3 linked regions of the Saccharomyces cerevisiae S288C genome follow. The protein of the gene in region 1 binds, or shares a complex with, the protein of each later gene. Each region holds a gene or a part of one and is shown on either strand. Other genes may lie near its edges. A codon is read from its position in the direction of its gene.

The links.
Region 2: SIP2 (region 1) and SIP1 share a complex: the UniProt entries of both Saccharomyces cerevisiae proteins name them as parts of the SNF1 kinase complex.
Region 3: the proteins of SIP2 (region 1) and SNF4 are in contact, whole or in part, in a crystal structure (PDB 2QLV), measured with the Saccharomyces cerevisiae proteins. Residues at the interface, in NP_011307.1 of Saccharomyces cerevisiae: Thr212 (codon at 4,152), Arg216 (codon at 4,164), Asp227 (codon at 4,197), Thr231 (codon at 4,209), Ala232 (codon at 4,212), Thr233 (codon at 4,215), Asp234 (codon at 4,218), Gln235 (codon at 4,221), Met236 (codon at 4,224), Gly237 (codon at 4,227), Asn238 (codon at 4,230), Phe239 (codon at 4,233), Tyr242 (codon at 4,242), Asn389 (codon at 4,683), Thr390 (codon at 4,686), Tyr399 (codon at 4,713), Lys400 (codon at 4,716), Gln401 (codon at 4,719), Lys402 (codon at 4,722), Tyr403 (codon at 4,725), Val404 (codon at 4,728), Thr405 (codon at 4,731), Gln406 (codon at 4,734), Ile407 (codon at 4,737), Leu408 (codon at 4,740), Tyr409 (codon at 4,743), Thr410 (codon at 4,746), Pro411 (codon at 4,749); in NP_011400.1 of Saccharomyces cerevisiae: Phe25 (codon at 1,627), Lys29 (codon at 1,639), Tyr32 (codon at 1,648), Asp33 (codon at 1,651), Val34 (codon at 1,654), Leu35 (codon at 1,657), Pro36 (codon at 1,660), Val37 (codon at 1,663), Ser38 (codon at 1,666), Tyr39 (codon at 1,669), Arg40 (codon at 1,672), Leu41 (codon at 1,675), Ile42 (codon at 1,678), Val43 (codon at 1,681), Leu44 (codon at 1,684), Asp45 (codon at 1,687), Ser47 (codon at 1,693), Leu48 (codon at 1,696), Lys52 (codon at 1,708), Val56 (codon at 1,720), Gln59 (codon at 1,729), Asn60 (codon at 1,732), Trp68 (codon at 1,756), His127 (codon at 1,933), Pro128 (codon at 1,936), Ser129 (codon at 1,939), Asp151 (codon at 2,005), Ile160 (codon at 2,032), Val161 (codon at 2,035), Val162 (codon at 2,038).

What each region holds. Positions count from the first base shown.
Region 1 is NC_001139.9:93,820-101,356, forward strand, and holds SIP2 (Sip2p), read left to right. Parts: upstream 1-3,518; coding exon 3,519-4,766; downstream 4,767-7,537. Other genes in the region: Rab family GTPase YPT32, read left to right, coding at 1-641; MIG2 (Mig2p), read left to right, coding at 2,039-3,187; chromatin-remodeling protein SPT16, read left to right, coding at 5,150-7,537. UniProt on the Saccharomyces cerevisiae protein: Beta subunit of the SNF1 kinase complex, which is required for transcriptional, metabolic, and developmental adaptations in response to glucose limitation.
Region 2 is NC_001136.10:1,311,738-1,319,647, reverse strand, and holds SIP1 (Sip1p), read left to right. Parts: upstream 1-1,874; coding exon 1,875-4,322; downstream 4,323-7,910. Other genes in the region: DYN2 (dynein light chain), read left to right, coding at 31-261; CAD1 (Cad1p), read left to right, coding at 373-1,602; ARO80 (Aro80p), read right to left, coding at 4,756-7,608. UniProt on the Saccharomyces cerevisiae protein: Beta subunit of the SNF1 kinase complex, which is required for transcriptional, metabolic, and developmental adaptations in response to glucose limitation.
Region 3 is NC_001139.9:290,479-296,589, forward strand, and holds SNF4 (AMP-activated serine/threonine-protein kinase regulatory subunit SNF4), read left to right. Parts: upstream 1-1,554; coding exon 1,555-2,523; downstream 2,524-6,111. Other genes in the region: ubiquitin-protein transferase activating protein CDC20, read left to right, coding at 1-1,163; YGL114W (uncharacterized protein), read left to right, coding at 2,982-5,159; SLD3 (Sld3p), read left to right, coding at 5,454-6,111. UniProt on the Saccharomyces cerevisiae protein: Adenine nucleotides-binding subunit gamma of AMP-activated protein kinase (AMPK), an energy sensor protein kinase that plays a key role in regulating cellular energy metabolism.

The DNA.
Region 1 (7,537 bases):
ACGATTATTTATTTAAGATAGTTCTTATCGGCGACTCCGGTGTGGGTAAATCTAATCTGTTGTCGAGATTTACAACCGATGAATTCAACATTGAATCCAAATCCACGATTGGCGTGGAATTCGCTACAAGAACCATTGAAGTTGAAAACAAGAAGATAAAAGCACAGATTTGGGACACGGCAGGTCAAGAACGTTACAGGGCCATCACGTCTGCGTACTACCGTGGTGCTGTAGGTGCACTTATAGTGTATGATATAAGCAAATCAAGTTCATACGAAAATTGCAACCACTGGCTTACCGAACTGAGAGAGAACGCAGATGACAACGTGGCTGTTGGGTTGATAGGGAACAAATCAGATCTGGCTCATTTAAGAGCAGTACCAACCGATGAAGCGAAAAATTTCGCAATGGAAAACCAAATGTTATTTACTGAGACAAGTGCTTTAAATAGTGATAATGTAGATAAAGCATTTAGAGAACTGATCGTAGCCATCTTCCAAATGGTAAGCAAACATCAAGTAGACTTAAGCGGGTCGGGTACCAACAACATGGGCTCTAATGGCGCTCCAAAGGGTCCTACCATCAGCTTAACACCGGCACCAAAGGAAGACAAGAAGAAAAAATCCAGCAACTGTTGTTAAAAATTTTGTGCCCTACTAAGGTCGCATGGTTTCATGCATATTCTGTCTACATATAACCCCCGTTAATAATGCTTTTATAAATATAATCAATTACATATACCTTCCCAAGTTATTTATTACTAACCTTCGTTGCACGCAAGAAAAAATGTATTAACGTACATACATTTTCTAAATAGACCTTTCCTGACGCCTGCATTTTGCAATAGCCGAAGATAAGAATATGATTTTTTTTTTACGATTTAAATATTCTGTTGTTGTGCAGTCTAAAAACACACGTGTATGTTTTTTTCCGCACGCATGAGCAGAATTAGACGGTTTTATAAACGTTCGCTCTGTGTATTTCACGTACCTTCCCGGATACAAATTTCGTCATGGTTTATATTGGAAGTTTTTCCGAAATTGCGGGTTTTGAAGGTTTATCCGAGACGACGTGAGGGGTAGGCAGGAGAAGGAAGGCTGTTTACGTACGCAAGGATGGGGTACGACAATGATTCAATTTCTGTTGCTAAGTTTTTTGTTATTTTTTCATATTGGCCTACTCATCTTTGATATCATTATTTTTTCGAATCTACATTAGAGCGTGTTTCGGAAAACAAACTCGCTCGATACAGTAATTGCGTTTTATTTACGGAAATTACCGTTCTCGGTTCCAAGAAGGTTAGAAAAATCGGTTGTCGCTCTTTCTTTCCCCCACTTGTAAAAACAAAGAAAGTATAAAATAGTTTATGGCCCTTAAGGCAGGCCTTGTTGAATTTGAGCTATACCTACCCCAATGATAGTTCTGTGGTAGTTTGTTTGAATATGTAATATGAGAAGCACGATGGCAAACGATAATCTTCACTGAGCTGATTTACGAGCGACCATCATCTCCACGGTGCGAATTAATAAGCTGTGGCGATGTGCTGTAGTTGCCCTATCGCCCCTGCGGAGCTTGCGTCAACTAGCTCTCCCCTTTCCCCATTGAAGTTAGCGTATTACCATCAGTTAATGATTGATAGGCTCATACGAAGAAGAAAAAAAGCCGGGATAAGAAACCCCGCCTCCACTTTTTTGGCTCATCCGAAAATTTATCCGCGGAGACATCCACGGAGCACCCGCAAAACTGAAGTAATAACTCTAAATTATATGCCGCTGAGAAAAATCTCGTACGAGGATACGGTAAATAATCCGTGCGAGAAAGTTTTTCCGAAAATCATTCCCGGTCAAAAGCGTTTCTGGTATATAAGCGATTGGGAAACCCGTCTATAATACGTAGTAACTTACGATCTGCCTGTCAAATTGTGTGCTTGTCCTTGTACTATTACCATTGTGTAGCTTATCTTAACTCTCAATTAAGTTTTAACTCACGCTAAGACTATTGACCTCGAGAACAAACAAAATAAAAATAAAAAAAGAGAATGCCTAAAAAGCAAACGAATTTCCCAGTAGATAACGAAAACAGACCTTTTAGATGTGATACCTGTCACCGTGGTTTCCATCGGTTAGAACATAAAAAGAGACACTTGAGAACACACACTGGGGAAAAACCTCATCATTGCGCATTTCCTGGTTGTGGGAAAAGTTTCAGTAGAAGCGATGAACTGAAAAGGCACATGAGAACGCATACAGGGCAATCTCAAAGGAGATTGAAGAAAGCTAGCGTACAGAAACAGGAGTTTTTGACAGTAAGCGGAATTCCTACCATTGCATCGGGCGTGATGATACACCAACCAATACCGCAAGTCCTACCAGCAAATATGGCCATAAATGTTCAGGCAGTAAATGGAGGTAACATTATACACGCTCCCAATGCGGTGCACCCAATGGTGATACCAATCATGGCCCAACCAGCCCCCATTCATGCCTCCGCTGCATCTTTCCAGCCTGCAACTTCTCCTATGCCAATTTCTACATACACTCCAGTTCCATCGCAATCATTCACCTCTTTCCAGAGCTCTATTGGCTCCATACAGTCAAATAGTGATGTTTCATCTATCTTCTCGAACATGAATGTTCGCGTAAACACTCCACGCTCTGTGCCAAACTCTCCGAATGATGGATATTTACACCAGCAACATATCCCACAGCAGTATCAGCATCAAACTGCCAGCCCTTCTGTTGCCAAGCAGCAGAAAACTTTTGCACATTCTCTTGCATCTGCATTATCTACCTTACAAAAAAGAACGCCTGTAAGTGCCCCTTCCACCACTATAGAATCACCATCCTCACCAAGTGATTCCAGTCATACCTCTGCATCCAGCAGCGCTATCTCTTTGCCTTTCAGCAATGCTCCTTCTCAGCTCGCCGTGGCCAAAGAACTTGAGTCCGTCTATTTAGATTCCAATAGATACACCACCAAGACTAGGAGGGAAAGAGCAAAATTCGAAATTCCTGAAGAACAAGAAGAAGATACCAATAACAGCAGCAGTGGTAGTAATGAGGAGGAGCACGAGTCGCTAGATCATGAATCTAGCAAAAGCCGAAAGAAATTGTCAGGCGTAAAATTGCCGCCTGTACGTAACCTACTGAAACAAATTGATGTTTTCAACGGTCCCAAAAGAGTTTAACCTTTACGGCCCCTTTTTATCTCACCATTTTTCCTCTAACGAACTGTCATGAAACAACTTAGCATATAACGCGTACTTACATAGATAGATTAAATAGATAACCATGCATATCACTAACTAGCATCGTCATGAATAGCACGTTTACCTATACGAATTGCGGCCGGCATGGTCTTTTATATTGCTCCCTTGGACCGAGTAAAGATTTACCTTGCGTTTTCGGATCGTCAAAATCTTTTAGGGAAAGGATAAATACACCACAAGATTCCTGGGAAATGAAAAGTATCTGAAATAATTGTGCTTTTGGAAGGGTACTGAGAGCAGTGAAGTTTCTATGGGTACTACGACAAGTCATCCAGCCCAAAAAAAGCAAACAACAAAAAAGTGTCGTGCACCTATCATGAGTGACGTTAGAGAAAAACCCAGCAATGCTCAAGGCTGCGAACCGCAAGAAATGGATGCTGTGAGCAAGAAAGTTACTGAACTGAGCTTAAATAAATGTTCAGATTCCCAAGACGCGGGGCAGCCTTCAAGGGAGGGATCTATTACCAAAAAAAAATCGACGTTATTGCTGCGTGATGAGGACGAGCCCACTATGCCAAAGCTATCTGTTATGGAAACTGCTGTGGACACTGACTCTGGGTCTTCGTCTACTAGCGATGATGAAGAGGGAGATATTATTGCCCAGACGACAGAGCCCAAGCAAGATGCCAGTCCTGATGATGATCGCTCAGGCCATTCTTCGCCCAGAGAGGAGGGACAACAGCAAATACGTGCCAAAGAAGCTTCGGGAGGTCCAAGTGAAATCAAGAGCTCATTAATGGTTCCCGTGGAGATAAGGTGGCAGCAAGGTGGTTCAAAAGTTTACGTGACAGGCTCATTCACCAAATGGAGGAAAATGATCGGTTTGATACCTGATTCTGACAATAATGGCTCATTTCATGTGAAGCTAAGGCTGCTTCCAGGCACACATAGATTCAGATTTATAGTGGATAATGAGCTTAGAGTTAGTGATTTCCTGCCCACAGCAACTGATCAGATGGGAAACTTCGTCAATTACATAGAAGTCAGGCAACCAGAAAAAAACCCAACTAACGAAAAGATAAGGTCCAAGGAAGCAGATTCCATGCGACCTCCCACCAGCGATCGATCCTCAATTGCTCTACAAATTGGTAAGGATCCAGACGATTTTGGTGACGGATATACAAGGTTTCATGAAGATCTGTCACCCAGACCTCCGTTGGAATATACAACAGACATTCCCGCCGTGTTTACTGACCCGTCTGTCATGGAACGATACTATTATACCTTGGATCGTCAGCAAAGCAATACTGATACGTCATGGCTGACACCACCCCAATTACCTCCTCAGTTGGAGAATGTTATCTTGAATAAATACTATGCCACGCAAGACCAGTTCAACGAGAACAACTCAGGCGCTCTGCCCATTCCGAACCATGTGGTGCTTAACCACTTGGTTACTAGTAGCATTAAGCACAATACACTTTGTGTAGCCTCCATCGTTCGATATAAACAGAAATATGTCACCCAGATTCTTTATACGCCCATAGAGTCCTCGTAATCCGGGATTCCTACTTTTTAAAGGCGTATTGTATATATTTTTGGCAGCTATGGCACACTAATTTCTATTTCCAATTTAGTGTAAGCAGAGATATAGAAGCATATAACATAATGATTTACTAATGGGCTCAGTACTCTCAATGCTTATTGTTATCACAAACCACGATACTAATACCCGGAAGTCGCGTGATCTTTTTTTTTTTCGGAAAATGAGAATCGCCACTTTTCTAACGAAAGAATATTGAAATCTTAATATTGGTGAGAAGAGGAATAAAAGTAGCTAAGAGAGTCACGGGACTAAAAGGTAAAAAGTTCAGCTATTCCAACTTTACTCCTTTCTGATATTGCACCTTTCGTGAACTGGCTTCGTGTATTTAAGTGAATATGGAAGAGCTGAATATTGATTTTGACGTATTTAAGAAAAGGATTGAATTGTTGTATTCCAAGTACAATGAGTTTGAAGGTTCTCCAAATTCGCTGCTGTTTGTTTTAGGTTCGTCCAACGCTGAAAACCCGTACCAGAAGACGACCATATTGCATAATTGGTTGCTAAGTTACGAATTTCCCGCTACTTTGATTGCATTAGTTCCCGGAAAGGTTATTATAATTACTAGTTCTGCCAAGGCCAAGCATTTACAAAAGGCAATTGATCTATTTAAAGACCCTGAAAGCAAAATTACGCTGGAATTGTGGCAAAGAAACAATAAAGAACCAGAACTCAATAAAAAGTTATTTGATGACGTTATTGCCTTAATCAATAGCGCTGGTAAAACAGTGGGTATCCCTGAAAAGGACTCTTACCAAGGTAAATTTATGACTGAGTGGAACCCAGTATGGGAAGCGGCTGTGAAGGAGAACGAATTCAATGTCATTGATATTTCGCTGGGTCTTTCTAAAGTTTGGGAAGTGAAGGATGTTAACGAACAAGCCTTCCTGTCCGTTTCAAGTAAGGGGTCGGACAAATTTATGGACCTTTTATCCAATGAAATGGTTCGGGCAGTTGACGAGGAGTTGAAAATCACCAATGCCAAGTTATCAGACAAAATTGAAAATAAAATTGATGATGTGAAATTTTTGAAGCAATTGAGTCCCGATTTAAGCGCATTATGCCCACCAAACTACAAATTCAACTTTGATTTATTGGATTGGACCTATTCTCCAATCATTCAGTCCGGGAAAAAGTTTGATCTTAGGGTTTCTGCCCGTTCTACCAATGATCAGTTGTACGGCAACGGTTGTATTTTAGCTTCATGTGGTATTCGTTACAATAATTATTGTTCTAATATTACTAGGACCTTTTTGATCGATCCATCTGAAGAAATGGCCAACAACTACGATTTTCTATTAACTTTGCAAAAAGAAATTGTAACTAACATTCTGAAGCCCGGCCGTACACCAAAAGAAGTTTATGAATCAGTAATAGAATACATCGAAAAAACCAAACCTGAACTAGTGCCCAATTTCACCAAAAACATTGGTTCATTGATTGGTCTCGAATTTAGAGATTCTAACTTTATATTAAATGTTAAGAATGATTACCGTAAAATCCAACGCGGTGACTGCTTTAATATTTCGTTTGGTTTCAATAATCTGAAAGATTCTCAAAGTGCTAACAACTACGCTTTACAATTAGCTGATACGGTTCAAATTCCTCTCGATGAAACAGAGCCTCCACGCTTCTTAACAAATTACACCAAAGCCAAATCCCAGATATCATTTTATTTCAATAATGAAGAAGAAGACAATAATAAAAAGAAATCTTCACCTGCCACCAAAGTCCCTAGTAAACCAGACAGAAATTCCAAAATTTTAAGAACAAAGTTACGTGGCGAAGCCCGTGGTGGTGCCGAAGACGCTCAAAAGGAGCAAATTCGTAAAGAAAACCAAAAGAAGCTACACGAAAAATTGGAAAAGAATGGATTACTCAGATTTAGTGCTGCTGATGCCAATGGCCCAGATAGTGAACCTCGTCAATACTTCAAAAAATATGAATCTTATGTTCGGGATTCACAACTACCAACCAATATTCGTGATCTAAGAATTCATGTCGACTGGAAAAGCCAAACAATTATTCTACCCATTTACGGTAGGCCAGTCCCATTTCATATAAATTCATATAAGAATGGTTCTAAAAACGAAGAAGGCGAATATACGTATTTACGTTTGAACTTTAATTCACCGGGATCTTCTGGTGGTATTTCTAAAAAAGTGGAGGAATTGCCGTATGAGGAATCAGCAGACAATCAATTTGTACGTTCGATTACACTAAGATCCAAAGATGGTGACCGCATGAGTGAAACCTTTAAACAAATTGCAGATTTGAAAAAAGAAGCCACAAAGAGAGAGCAAGAACGTAAGGCGCTTGCTGATGTTGTTCAACAGGACAAATTGATTGAAAATAAAACTGGAAGAACGAAAAGACTGGATCAAATTTTTGTGAGGCCAAATCCAGATACAAAACGTGTACCTAGTACTGTCTTTATCCATGAAAATGGTATCAGATTTCAATCCCCACTAAGGACTGATAGCAGAATAGACATATTATTCTCAAACATTAAGAATCTAATTTTTCAATCTTGTAAAGGTGAATTAATTGTCGTCATTCATATTCATTTGAAGAATCCAATTTTAATGGGTAAAAAGAAAATACAAGACGTCCAATTCTATCGTGAAGCTTCTGATATGTCCGTCGATGAAACTGGAGGTGGAAGACGAGGTCAATCCAGATTCAGAAGATATGGTGATGAGGATGAGCTGGAACAAGAACAAGAA
Region 2 (7,910 bases), on another chromosome or scaffold:
TATATATTTACTAACAAGGAGAAAACTTAGACCGACAAGCTGAAAGAGGATATTTTAACCATCAGTAAAGATGCTCTGGACAAGTACCAGTTGGAAAGAGACATTGCTGGGACGGTAAAGAAGCAATTGGATGTCAAATACGGCAATACCTGGCATGTGATTGTCGGAAAGAACTTTGGGAGCTACGTGACACACGAAAAGGGCCATTTTGTTTATTTCTATATCGGTCCACTGGCGTTTTTAGTTTTCAAAACAGCATAAATAGTGTTTCTTCAATAGTTAATCGATAATCAATTACTATTATACTTTCATACGAATGGGGTGTTACTTTTAAGGACGACATATAAGCAATGGAACGACCAGTTAAGATAAATGGGCAATATCCTTCGGAAAGGTCAGCAAATATATTTAGCAGGTGACATGAAGAAGCAAATGTTGCTAAATAAAGATGGAACACCTAAGAGGAAGGTGGGCAGACCAGGCAGAAAAAGGATTGACTCTGAAGCTAAGAGTAGGAGGACTGCCCAGAATAGGGCAGCTCAACGAGCGTTCCGAGATAGGAAAGAAGCCAAAATGAAGAGTTTGCAAGAGAGGGTAGAGTTACTAGAACAGAAAGATGCGCAGAATAAGACTACCACGGACTTTTTACTATGTTCTTTAAAAAGTTTACTGTCGGAAATTACAAAATATAGAGCTAAGAATTCTGATGATGAAAGAATATTAGCCTTCCTCGATGATCTGCAAGAACAACAGAAAAGGGAAAACGAAAAAGGAACAAGTACAGCAGTTAGCAAGGCTGCAAAGGAATTGCCATCGCCTAATTCAGATGAAAACATGACTGTGAACACAAGTATAGAAGTACAGCCGCACACTCAAGAGAATGAGAAAGTTATGTGGAACATAGGCTCATGGAACGCTCCCAGTTTAACCAATTCGTGGGATTCTCCCCCCGGAAATCGAACAGGTGCCGTTACCATCGGTGACGAAAGTATTAATGGTAGTGAAATGCCAGATTTCAGTCTCGATCTTGTCTCCAATGATAGACAGACTGGTCTAGAAGCTTTAGATTACGACATTCATAACTACTTTCCTCAGCACTCTGAACGCCTGACCGCTGAAAAAATAGATACGTCAGCATGTCAATGTGAAATTGACCAAAAGTATCTTCCATACGAGACAGAAGATGATACTTTATTCCCCAGCGTGCTTCCCCTTGCTGTAGGGAGCCAGTGTAATAATATTTGCAACCGCAAGTGTATCGGGACCAAACCATGTTCAAATAAGGAGATCAAATGCGACTTAATAACAAGCCACCTGTTGAATCAGAAATCTCTAGCTTCGGTGCTTCCGGTGGCTGCTTCTCATACTAAAACAATTCGAACCCAATCTGAAGCAATTGAACACATTAGCAGCGCCATATCGAATGGAAAAGCGTCTTGCTACCACATTCTCGAAGAGATCTCCTCCCTACCAAAATATTCATCGTTGGACATAGATGATTTATGCAGCGAATTAATAATCAAGGCAAAATGTACAGATGACTGCAAAATAGTAGTCAAAGCTCGCGACTTACAGAGTGCTCTGGTTAGACAGCTCCTGTAGCATATAAACATATCTTGAGTATACATAATGTTGGATGAGAGCATGTAATATTGATCGCTTTGTACGATGATTATACCTTTTTTGTCTTTTTACCATTGTCTCTGATGGAATACTATTGACAATTAACAATGGTAGATATATCCGATACAAGTGGATACCTACATAAACAAGGTGTCTTACCTAGTGTTTCTTTCATTTGCACTTCTTTTTTTGCGTGTGGACTGACATCTTGGAAAGTTGAACTGTCATATTATATAGTTGTTGCAGCCGCCATGGGAAACAGTCCTTCTACTCAGGATCCATCGCATTCAACCAAAAAGGAGCATGGACATCATTTTCATGATGCATTCAATAAAGATCGTCAGGGAAGCATAACCTCTCAACTGTTTAACAATAGGAAGAGTACTCATAAGAGACGCGCCAGTCATACTAGCGAACATAATGGTGCCATTCCCCCTAGAATGCAATTACTTGCATCTCACGATCCATCGACAGATTGTGATGGGCGCATGAGCAGTGATACTACTATCGATAAGGGCCCGTCCCATCTATTCAAAAAGGATTATTCTTTGTCCTCTGCCGCAGACGTAAATGACACTACGTTGGCCAATTTGACTTTAAGTGATGATCACGATGTGGGTGCACCCGAAGAGCAGGTGAAATCTCCGTCGTTTTTGAGCCCAGGTCCATCAATGGCCACTGTCAAACGAACTAAAAGTGATCTGGATGATCTGTCTACTTTGAATTACACCATGGTTGACGAAACAACAGAAAATGAAAGAAACGACAAACCACACCATGAAAGGCATCGCTCAAGCATCATAGCTTTGAAAAAAAATCTTTTAGAAAGTTCAGCTACTGCTTCCCCTTCTCCAACGAGGTCTTCATCGGTGCATTCAGCATCACTTCCCGCCTTGACCAAGACGGATTCCATTGATATTCCTGTAAGACAACCCTATTCAAAGAAACCATCTATCCATGCATACCAATATCAATATCTCAATAACGACGAAACATTTTCTGAGAACTCTCAAATGGATAAAGAGGGAAACAGTGATAGTGTAGATGCAGAAGCAGGCGTACTTCAAAGTGAAGATATGGTTTTGAACCAGTCTCTTTTACAAAATGCTTTAAAAAAGGATATGCAACGTCTTTCAAGGGTGAATTCCTCTAATTCAATGTATACTGCAGAAAGGATAAGCCACGCTAATAACAATGGAAATATTGAAAATAACACCCGTAACAAGGGAAACGCGGGAGGCTCCAACGACGATTTTACCGCACCTATATCTGCTACTGCAAAAATGATGATGAAACTGTACGGTGATAAGACCTTGATGGAAAGAGATTTAAATAAGCACCATAATAAGACAAAGAAAGCCCAGAATAAAAAAATAAGGTCGGTTTCAAATTCGAGAAGATCCTCATTTGCTTCTTTGCATTCTTTACAATCAAGAAAGAGTATCTTAACAAACGGTTTGAATTTGCAGCCTTTGCATCCACTACATCCAATTATTAACGACAATGAAAGTCAATACTCTGCACCGCAGCATAGAGAAATATCGCATCACTCTAATTCCATGTCGAGTATGTCTTCAATATCATCAACAAACTCCACCGAAAATACTTTAGTTGTTCTAAAATGGAAAGACGATGGTACCGTGGCTGCAACCACGGAAGTCTTTATAGTAAGCACGGATATTGCTTCTGCTCTTAAAGAGCAAAGAGAGCTTACCTTGGATGAGAATGCAAGTTTAGACTCAGAAAAACAGTTAAATCCTAGGATCCGCATGGTTTATGATGATGTGCATAAGGAATGGTTTGTTCCAGATCTTTTTTTGCCTGCAGGAATTTATAGACTGCAATTCTCCATCAATGGTATATTGACTCACTCAAATTTTCTTCCTACAGCTACGGATTCAGAAGGCAATTTTGTCAACTGGTTTGAAGTATTGCCCGGTTATCATACGATCGAGCCATTTAGAAACGAAGCAGACATCGACTCGCAAGTAGAGCCAACACTGGATGAAGAATTGCCCAAGAGACCGGAACTTAAAAGATTTCCTTCTTCCTCTCGAAAATCTTCCTACTATTCTGCTAAGGGTGTTGAAAGGCCAAGTACACCGTTTTCAGATTATAGAGGCTTAAGTAGGTCCAGTTCAATAAATATGCGTGACTCATTTGTACGTCTGAAGGCTAGCAGTTTGGATTTGATGGCCGAGGTCAAGCCTGAGAGGTTGGTGTATTCGAACGAAATACCAAATTTATTTAATATAGGTGACGGCTCTACGATTTCTGTAAAAGGAGATTCTGATGACGTGCATCCCCAAGAACCTCCCAGCTTTACACATAGAGTTGTTGACTGTAATCAAGATGATTTATTTGCTACTTTACAGCAAGGCGGTAATATTGATGCAGAAACAGCAGAGGCGGTTTTTCTAAGTAGATACCCAGTTCCTGACTTGCCCATATACCTGAATTCATCCTATCTGAACAGAATACTAAACCAAAGCAATCAGAATTCAGAATCACATGAGAGGGATGAAGGTGCGATAAATCATATTATACCCCACGTGAATTTGAACCATTTACTGACAAGCAGTATTAGAGATGAAATAATCAGCGTAGCTTGCACTACTAGATATGAGGGGAAATTTATCACTCAAGTAGTTTATGCACCTTGTTATTATAAAACACAAAAGTCTCAGATCAGTAATTAGAATCTCAATTCGCAATGATTCTCACGAACTCTATTAATTCAATTTTTTTCTTTTTGATTCCTATGGCTCCTAGAACGTTTGCATTCCTTTTTTTTTTGTTCTAGTAGGTATTTCACGTCACGTTTCTGGCAATCCACTTCTCAGCATGCGTGGAATATACTTTAACATATCCAACGAATTTGCTGCATATTCTTATGTAATAGATAGCCGTTCCTAATGTGTAATGGCCTGCTTTGTTATAGAAATCATATATAAGTAGTGATTGAGCCGTAAAATCATCTCATATGCCCAATGGAAAACCAGTCATAGTATTATGAAGCATTCGCATTATTATATACCTCCATCTTCCCCTGTTATTCTGTCTTTGTATTTAAAATCATTTTTACGAATAGTGCGGTTGTCTTGGTTGATGACGTAATTCTTTGATATCTACTTATTTACGCGTTATTGGCCTTGAGTTATTAATATCATTATTGATGTTATTACTATTCACGAACAAGTTGTATAAATTTTCGAAATTATTATTATCACCATCTCCACATTGCATATATCGTTGCTCAATAAGTTCTGTCCATGGTTCTACAAATTCAAGCCCGATATCTTCACTAGCACCGAACCAATCTGTAACCTCGTCAGATAGAGATGGACCTTGGAAGAGTTCATTGTTCAGTAACGCTGTTGTGATATCGTTGTTTTGTTCAACAAAAGGATCAACGATACCTTTAGAAGATGTATCATTTGAATTCTGAGAATTGCTATTAATTTCCTCCGTCAAAGGCCTTTCCGAGGGTTCAAAAGTAGTCTCGGTTTTATTATATCCAATACGTTTAGAGAATATTGGCTTCTTAGTTAAGTCTTGTCCCTCCAGTGAGGATTCGCGATTGCTCTCTAGAGGAGTGGTGCCATCTCTTAATAAGGGTGGTCGTTCTAAGTAAGATTTTTTTCGAAGTTTCATCTCTGTACATAAGTACATTAATATGGCTGCGTATCTTTGACATAGATGTAATTCATCTGGTGTAGCTTCTTTCAAAGTAACCGCAGTGTCACGGATGATATCGAATGTTTCGTCAACCGATATTGCACTTAATTTTAAAATGTTTCTGGCATCTGGATTTGTTGCCAGTTCACTACCAGTAAGTGTTAGGTAGCATTTTACTATGAACGCAATGGATCTAATTATTCGTATTACCCATCTTACGGGCATGTATTTTAGCATTCCTTGCCTTGAAACTCGCTTTGCAGAACTCAATATTTCTTTTGCAGATCTGTATGCTAATTCCACATACCTCGCGCTTGTCACAATTTCATTCATATTCAATCTGCTTGTTTTCCCATCCACTTGCAGTGCGAGGGAAAAGATATAAAGTTGACAATAATTGAAATCTGTGATAATACTTTCACCATTTATTCTATCGATGTTATCAAATATTTGTTTTTTGTTCTTCCTATCTGCTAGTGAGAAAGGGACATCAGAAAGGGGTACAAGAAGCTCTCTGTAGTTACTGAGCCAGCCCTCTATCAAGGGAGAAAAAACACTTAGGACAGAGAGGTTGTGTCTCTGATCTGTCGTTGCCAATTTCCTCTTATTCTTCTCACAGTAAATCGTCTCATATGCTATGGATAGGATTCGAATGATCTCTATTTTTGCTCTTTGGGCGAATGAGAATCTTAGTGGAAATGGTGGTATGTGATTCTGTGCTAGATTAGTATCATCTTTTTTATTAGAATAATATAGAACATACTCATCGTTTAAAAACTCCCTCTCCCAATCAGTCAAAAAATTTTTCTCGTTGTCGTGGTCATTTTCTGAGTTTTCAAAAACTCTCTTCCACCTTAGTTTACTTTCTTCATCAGGCAAAATCTCATTCAGATAAAATTTTTCATTCCCAAGGTAATCCTCATTGCTTTCATTTCCATCGTTTTCAATTTTTCCTAAATTCAAGTTTAAAACGCTGAATGATTCTGCTAATAAGGATCTTTGATTCATATTCATAGCACTGGTAGTCTCAGATATATGAGTGACAATGAATACTTTTGAGCTGTTTTCAATGAATCCCATATCTTGCGCCAGCCTTACTGCAGACCCTGTCAGCATCCATGACATTCGGTCGCTTCTACGGATTGCGCCGACACCGGTCAATCCTTCTTCGTCCTTCCTCGTACTAATATTCTTACTTCCTCTAGCGTTGACATTATTTAACTCAGGATCATTTGCATAGTCAGACCATTTATAGTGGATACTCCTTGGGTTCCATTCCGTGAAAATTATGAAAGCAAGCACGGTGCCAATTGACCTAGTACTAGCCTCTGCCCAAATTGTTTGAGATATAAGCTTCTGGCAATACACCCATAATTTATCGTGAACTTCAATGTGTCTCATCCCATCTTCTCCATTGTCTAATCCTAAAGTATCGAAAGGATGATAGCGAGCAGAAACAGTCAAAATTGCACAAAACAAAATTGGATATTCTGCTAATTCTTTCGGATCATGCAATTGAAGTGGGATATTGGGAAAGAATGGGTGCATCGTGAGAAAAAATGCCTCTATGAGTTCAATCGCCTCCTCTTTAGTAAGCAAGCTATCTGGACCGATGTAATCGAAGTCGTCAATTTTCCGGGTAGGTGGAGGTCTCACTTTCCCGATTTCTTCCATTAATTGTGATGTTTTCCTATTCGTATTCAGCGTGTGGTTAAGCATATCTGCTGTATTTTCGTAAAGTGTGTTAGTACTGTCACTTTTTGAAAGTCGTTTCAACCCCTCGTCCGTAGCAGATTTATTTGTCGCATCCAAAGAACTTTTCAGTGGTTTCGGTGTTGTGGACTTCTCTTTTATGATTTCTTTTGCGCCTTCTTTTGCTACAGTTCCAGCAGCTTGGGCCAGAAACTCTAGGGCGTTCTGCATGGAGGAAAGTTCAAGCTTCCACTTCATCCCTTCTGATTTAAATGATTTTTCACTGCTAATCCCTTTTCTTGACAAAGGTACATCCGATAAAATTGGGCTCGTTGAGTCATTTTGTATCTCTTGCTTACTCTTACCTAGAGATGGCAGACTTATTGCATTAATCGAATTAGGAGGCAAGTCGTTCGAAGTTCCCTTATTAGAGCTAAAAATACATTTTTTTAGCTCCCTTTTGCAACGTGCACACGGTGGGTCGTGTGGGTTATCAACCGGACCAAGATCACATTTCACCTTCCTTGATCTGCAGCTGATGCAAGCTTGGTAGGTTCTTCTCCGTTTTGGAAGTTCAAATGCTGCGTTTCCCGAAGGCCTTTTCTTAGCAGACATAGAGGATAAAGCAGTGCTTAATGTAACCTTATTATGCGTGGATCATATATTCCCACGACTAACTTGATATTATTGCTTTAATTTATTCTCGCTCTTTTTTCATTGGTTAGTTACTATCTTCATTTATCTCGGTTATCATCGGATAGAATAGTGTACTCTCGTTGATTCCGAAAATATTAAAAAAAAGCCTTCATGTATTACTAAGAAGGACTCATAAAATTACAAATGCAATACTTGATGATATATATAATAATAGTAATGGCGTGAGCCTATGTGTATTAATGGGTATCAATTTTTGTGAT
Region 3 (6,111 bases), 190 kb from region 1:
AAAGAACACATTATAGTTATCAGCAGGAACAAAAAATTCCTGATTTAATTAAATTAAGGAAAATCAATACCAATCCGGAAAGAATTCTTGATGCACCTGGTTTCCAAGACGACTTTTATTTAAACTTGTTAAGTTGGTCCAAAAAAAATGTCTTAGCTATAGCACTAGACACTGCATTATATCTGTGGAATGCCACCACTGGGGATGTTTCCCTGTTAACGGATTTCGAAAACACCACAATATGCAGCGTTACGTGGTCTGATGATGATTGTCATATCTCTATCGGTAAAGAGGATGGGAACACCGAAATTTGGGACGTTGAGACCATGTCATTAATTAGAACTATGAGATCAGGCTTAGGTGTCCGTATCGGTTCATTGTCTTGGTTAGATACTTTGATAGCTACAGGCAGTCGTAGTGGAGAAATTCAAATCAATGATGTCAGGATCAAACAGCATATTGTATCTACATGGGCAGAGCACACAGGCGAAGTCTGCGGTTTGAGCTATAAAAGTGACGGATTGCAACTTGCATCTGGTGGTAATGATAACACTGTAATGATTTGGGATACCAGAACGTCCTTGCCTCAATTTTCCAAGAAGACGCATACTGCTGCTGTAAAAGCACTAAGCTGGTGTCCATATTCGCCAAATATTCTAGCCTCTGGAGGCGGACAAACAGATAAACACATCCATTTTTGGAACAGTATCACAGGTGCACGAGTTGGCTCAATCAATACCGGATCCCAGGTGAGCTCTTTACATTGGGGCCAAAGTCATACGTCAACCAATGGTGGTATGATGAATAAAGAGATTGTTGCCACAGGAGGTAATCCAGAGAATGCAATCTCTGTTTATAATTATGAAACAAAATTCAAAGTTGCAGAAGTAGTTCATGCTCATGAAGCAAGAATATGCTGTTCTCAATTGTCCCCTGACGGAACCACATTGGCCACAGTGGGAGGAGATGAAAACTTAAAATTTTATAAGATATTTGATCCAAGATGTACAGGAAGATCGAGAGAAGACGGATTGATGGATGGTATGCTAGGACTTATTGGCAAGGAAGGTTGTCGAACAAATGATAAGGAGAATCGTTCCAAAAATTCGAGTGAGATTCATACAAGGAGGCCCTCTAGTACCAGCCAATATTTGATCAGGTGATAAAATAAAAAAAATAAAAGTTCATGTCAAGGCATATAATGAAATTTCCATACACGCATACATAATGTATAAACATAAATGTATTCAAGAAGCTTAAGAAATAAAAGTAATGAACCTTGAGAATACATCAAGATATAACTCATCACATGTTAAAGAACCCACACACCACACGCGCGAGAACTGGGAGGGAGAGAAATTTAGCAAATAACAAAATTTAGGCCTTGGAAGAAACCATAGCAATGCAATAATCGTTATTAACATAATATCTACATTGAGAACTTCTTGGGCTAGTGGTTTTGCTGCAAACTGGAAAATTGTATCAATCTTTTAACGTTAGCTAAACATCTTCTGCTGTGTTAGCATTAGGAGGAAGCGAAAAGGAAAATACATAATGAAACCGACACAGGATTCACAAGAAAAGGTTTCTATTGAACAGCAGTTAGCTGTAGAATCGATAAGGAAGTTTTTGAACTCGAAAACATCTTATGACGTGTTGCCTGTTTCTTACCGTTTAATTGTCTTGGACACCTCGTTGTTAGTGAAGAAATCACTGAATGTTCTTTTGCAAAATAGCATTGTCTCTGCGCCATTATGGGACTCCAAGACTTCCAGGTTCGCTGGACTTCTAACTACTACAGATTTTATTAATGTCATCCAGTATTACTTCTCCAATCCAGATAAGTTCGAATTAGTAGACAAATTACAGTTAGATGGATTAAAAGATATAGAGCGTGCTCTCGGTGTTGATCAACTAGATACAGCTTCAATTCATCCTTCTAGACCCTTATTTGAGGCGTGTCTTAAGATGTTAGAATCAAGAAGTGGTAGAATACCACTGATCGATCAAGATGAAGAGACACATAGAGAAATTGTCGTTAGTGTTCTTACGCAATATAGAATTCTGAAGTTCGTTGCTTTAAATTGCAGGGAAACACATTTTCTAAAGATTCCAATTGGGGACTTGAACATTATTACGCAAGATAACATGAAAAGCTGTCAAATGACCACTCCGGTCATAGACGTCATTCAGATGCTTACCCAAGGTCGGGTTTCTTCCGTCCCTATTATTGACGAAAACGGCTACTTAATCAACGTATATGAAGCATACGATGTCCTAGGCTTGATAAAAGGAGGCATCTACAACGACCTGTCATTGAGCGTCGGAGAAGCCCTTATGAGGAGAAGTGATGATTTTGAGGGTGTTTATACATGCACTAAGAATGATAAATTATCTACTATTATGGATAACATCAGAAAAGCAAGGGTGCATAGATTCTTTGTAGTTGATGACGTCGGACGGTTGGTTGGTGTCTTGACGTTAAGCGATATTCTCAAATATATCCTTCTAGGTAGCAACTGAAACGAGCCGATGAGATTTTTGTGTACATACTATAAATAAATGCAACTAATAAAGTCATGATTAATCAGTCATGCATACTTCATCTGACCAATATATTTTCATCTTGCTTATTTTGGGTATAATTCGGCGGAAATTCGGTTATAAAGCGAAGTGAAAAATCGATTAGTAATGATACTGATGCGATCTCTGGGAGGGGGGAATGCTGCATATAAGGGTGAAGGAAGATAATGCAAAGCCTTTTGTAGTATTGTCTGTTGATACCAAAATAAATTAGTTCATCAAAAAGGTACAGGCAGCTAAAGAAAAGCTGTAAATTTAACGCCGTAGAAGGTATTTTTCGTGAGATCTATCTCAAGGCATCATTTTTTTTATTTTCGCACCAAGATAGGAAGAAAAAGAGTCACAGTATAGAGGACTAACCGTTAAAGATTCTAAATCGGTACTGTAAATACTTTGAAATGCCTCAATCTACTCCAAGTCAAGAAGTACAGCGTGTACCATGGGATAATAAACCTGCTTTGAAGCAGATAACACTCCGAGCAACCATAGCAGGTATCGCTATAGGGTCTCTGGTGCTAACATCAAATTTTCAATTTGGCCTGCAAACCGGTTGGGTTTCCATGATGTCCCTGCCATCGGCATTGTTAGCTTGTGCTTTCTTTAAAAATATCTGGCCATTAATATTTCCGAACGACAGGCCTTTCAGTGACGTTGAAAATGTATACGTACAAAGTATGGCAGTAGCTGTCGGAACAGGCCCATTAGCCTTTGGGTTTGTCGGCGTCATACCTGCCATCGAGAAGTTCCTTACTAACGACGAAAGTGGTGGATTAAGGGAACAAGGACAGTCCTTCACTTTTAGAGAATTGTTAATATGGTCCACAGCCCTAGCATTCTTCGGTATTTTTTTTGCAGTTCCTCTAAGAAAGCAAGTAATTGTTAGAGAGAAACTTCCCTTCCCCAGTGGTAGCGCCACGGCCACTTTAATTTCAGTGCTAAATGGAACTGAGATTTTACAAGAGGTTTCTAAGTCAGAGTTATTGGAAATGAGGCAGAGGAGATTGAATGAATGCCCTGAAGTGCTACAACCCAACAGAGATCCAGAGGAGGCGGATTATTTAATGAACTCTTCTCATAGCGAACTTGGTGATTATACGGCAACTAGCCAAGATGGAAGTTCTATCCTTTCTACTGGCTCTGAGAACTACAGAGCGAATATTATTATTTTATTGAAAACTTTTGTTGTTTCTTCGCTTTACACCATGGTGTCATATTTTGTACCGGTAATACGGTCTATTCCAGTCTTCGGAAAATACCTCTCGAACAATTATCTCTGGAATTTTCAGCCGTCGCCTGCGTATATAGGCCAAGGGATAATAATGGGTCTTCCAACAGTATCGTATATGCTTATCGGGTGCTTCTTAGGCTGGGGTGTGTTAGCACCATTGGCGAGATACAAAAGATGGGTACCACCAGATGCTGATGTCCACGACTGGGAGGAGGGAGTGCAAGGATGGATTCTTTGGTCGTCGCTTTCAATAATGGTTGCTGACAGTGTAGTCGCTTTTATTGTTGTGACAGTGAAGTCCATTGTGAAATTTATTCTTATAGATGACAAAGCTGCTTTACTGAACAACATAATCGATGATACATTTCAATCTATGTTACTGGAGGAGGAACGCGCCATTAATAGCAGCAGAAGAAATACATATGTTGATGGAAGGCAGGACACCGTAAGATTAGTGAGTAGAGATAACGAAATAGAAGTAGATTCGAAGCATTTGGTTCGCTATACCACCGTTATCAGTGGATGTCTAGTCTCCTCGATAATATGCATTGTTTCCATAATATATTTGTTTGGGATACAAGTAATTCCCCTATATGCTATTATCACTGCTTTGATACTTGCGTTGTTTCTATCTATTCTCGGTATTCGAGCACTTGGAGAGACCGATCTGAATCCTGTGAGCGGCATTGGTAAGATCTCTCAATTGATTTTTGCCTTTATCATACCAAGGGATAGACCTGGATCAGTGTTAATGAACGTGGTATCGGGAGGTATTGCAGAAGCCTCTGCCCAACAGGCGGGCGATTTAATGCAGGATTTGAAAACGGGGCACCTCCTCGGCGCCTCCCCAAGAGCTCAGTTCTGTGCCCAATTGATAGGGGCCTGTTGGTCAATTATTTTGTCTAGCTTCATGTATTTGTGCTACAATAAAGTTTATTCAATTCCGAGTGAGCAATTCAGGATACCGACAGCAGTAGTGTGGATAGATTGTGCAAGACTAGTAACTGGTAAAGGGCTCCCTGATAAGGCCTTGGAGTGCTCCATGATTCTCGGAGTCATATTTGCCGTTTTATCATTAATCAGAAACACTTATAGAGATTACGGATACGGGTGGATATTATATATTCCGTCTGGTGTAGCAGTCGGTGTTGGTATATTTAATTCTCCCAGTTTTACAATTGCAAGATTCATCGGCGGGTGGGCTTCGCATTTTTGGTTGAAGAATCATAGGGGTGACTTAAATGCGAAAACAAAAATGATTGTATTCAGTTCGGGGTTGGTCTTAGGTGAAGGTATCTTTAGCGTAATAAACATGCTCTTCATCTGCTTAAATGTCCCTCACTATTAGGTATATAATATTTTACTAATAAAGAATTTACAAAGTTTACAAATTTTAAATTATTTACTCATCACATAATTCGATGTCTTAGATTTCCCTGTATATATATTTCTAGGTGACAAAAATCCTAGGCAAAATGTTATATTATACGCGACCTTGAAATATCGGCTATCTTGGTGTACAACATGGTCCATTTAAGAAAAATAAAAAAAAGTGATGGGCACTGTTAAAACAGGCAGAAGCCTCATTCATAACTGCTGAAGGGTTAAGATCGTATAGGTAGGAACGATCTGACCTCTCATAATGGAAACATGGGAAGTCATAGCATCGGTAAAAGAAGCAACAAAAGGCCTTGACTTGAGCTTAGATCATCCACTTATTATTAAATCCGAGGACGTGCCCAGTAACATTCTCCAATTACTGCAACAGAAGAATCGACGTCAATTGAAACACATCTGCATGAAATCAAGAAAAGAGTATTTTCTACTAGAGGAATATGGGCCAGGATTTTGGGTTAAGTGGCCGTACAATTATTTCAATGGTTACAGCTTACCAGAAAGGCGTACGGAAGTTGTAACGACAGTTGAAAGAGAAAGAGCTAAGCGTGAAACGTTAAAAACATGGGACGAATTGAAATTTAAAGAGCTTCTTCATTTATGGTCAGAAGAACCCAAGGGCTCGTGTAAGCTTGAGAAGGACAAAGACCTTAAACTGGATATGAATCCCCCAGATATGAAAGGCGAATCAAAAATTAATGACTACTATTCAGACCCTAAAGAGTACATAGAAAGTAAGTATTATGATGCTCTTTTTTCCATACATACGCCTCTCGCATATTTCGTCAAGTCAAATTTAGTAAGGCTCAAAAATACCTGCCGAACCAAGTACGGAAGTGACAGTTACAAAATAGCCTATCAAGCCATGCTGCAAAAATTTCTTCTCTCAATTGTACAATTCAAAG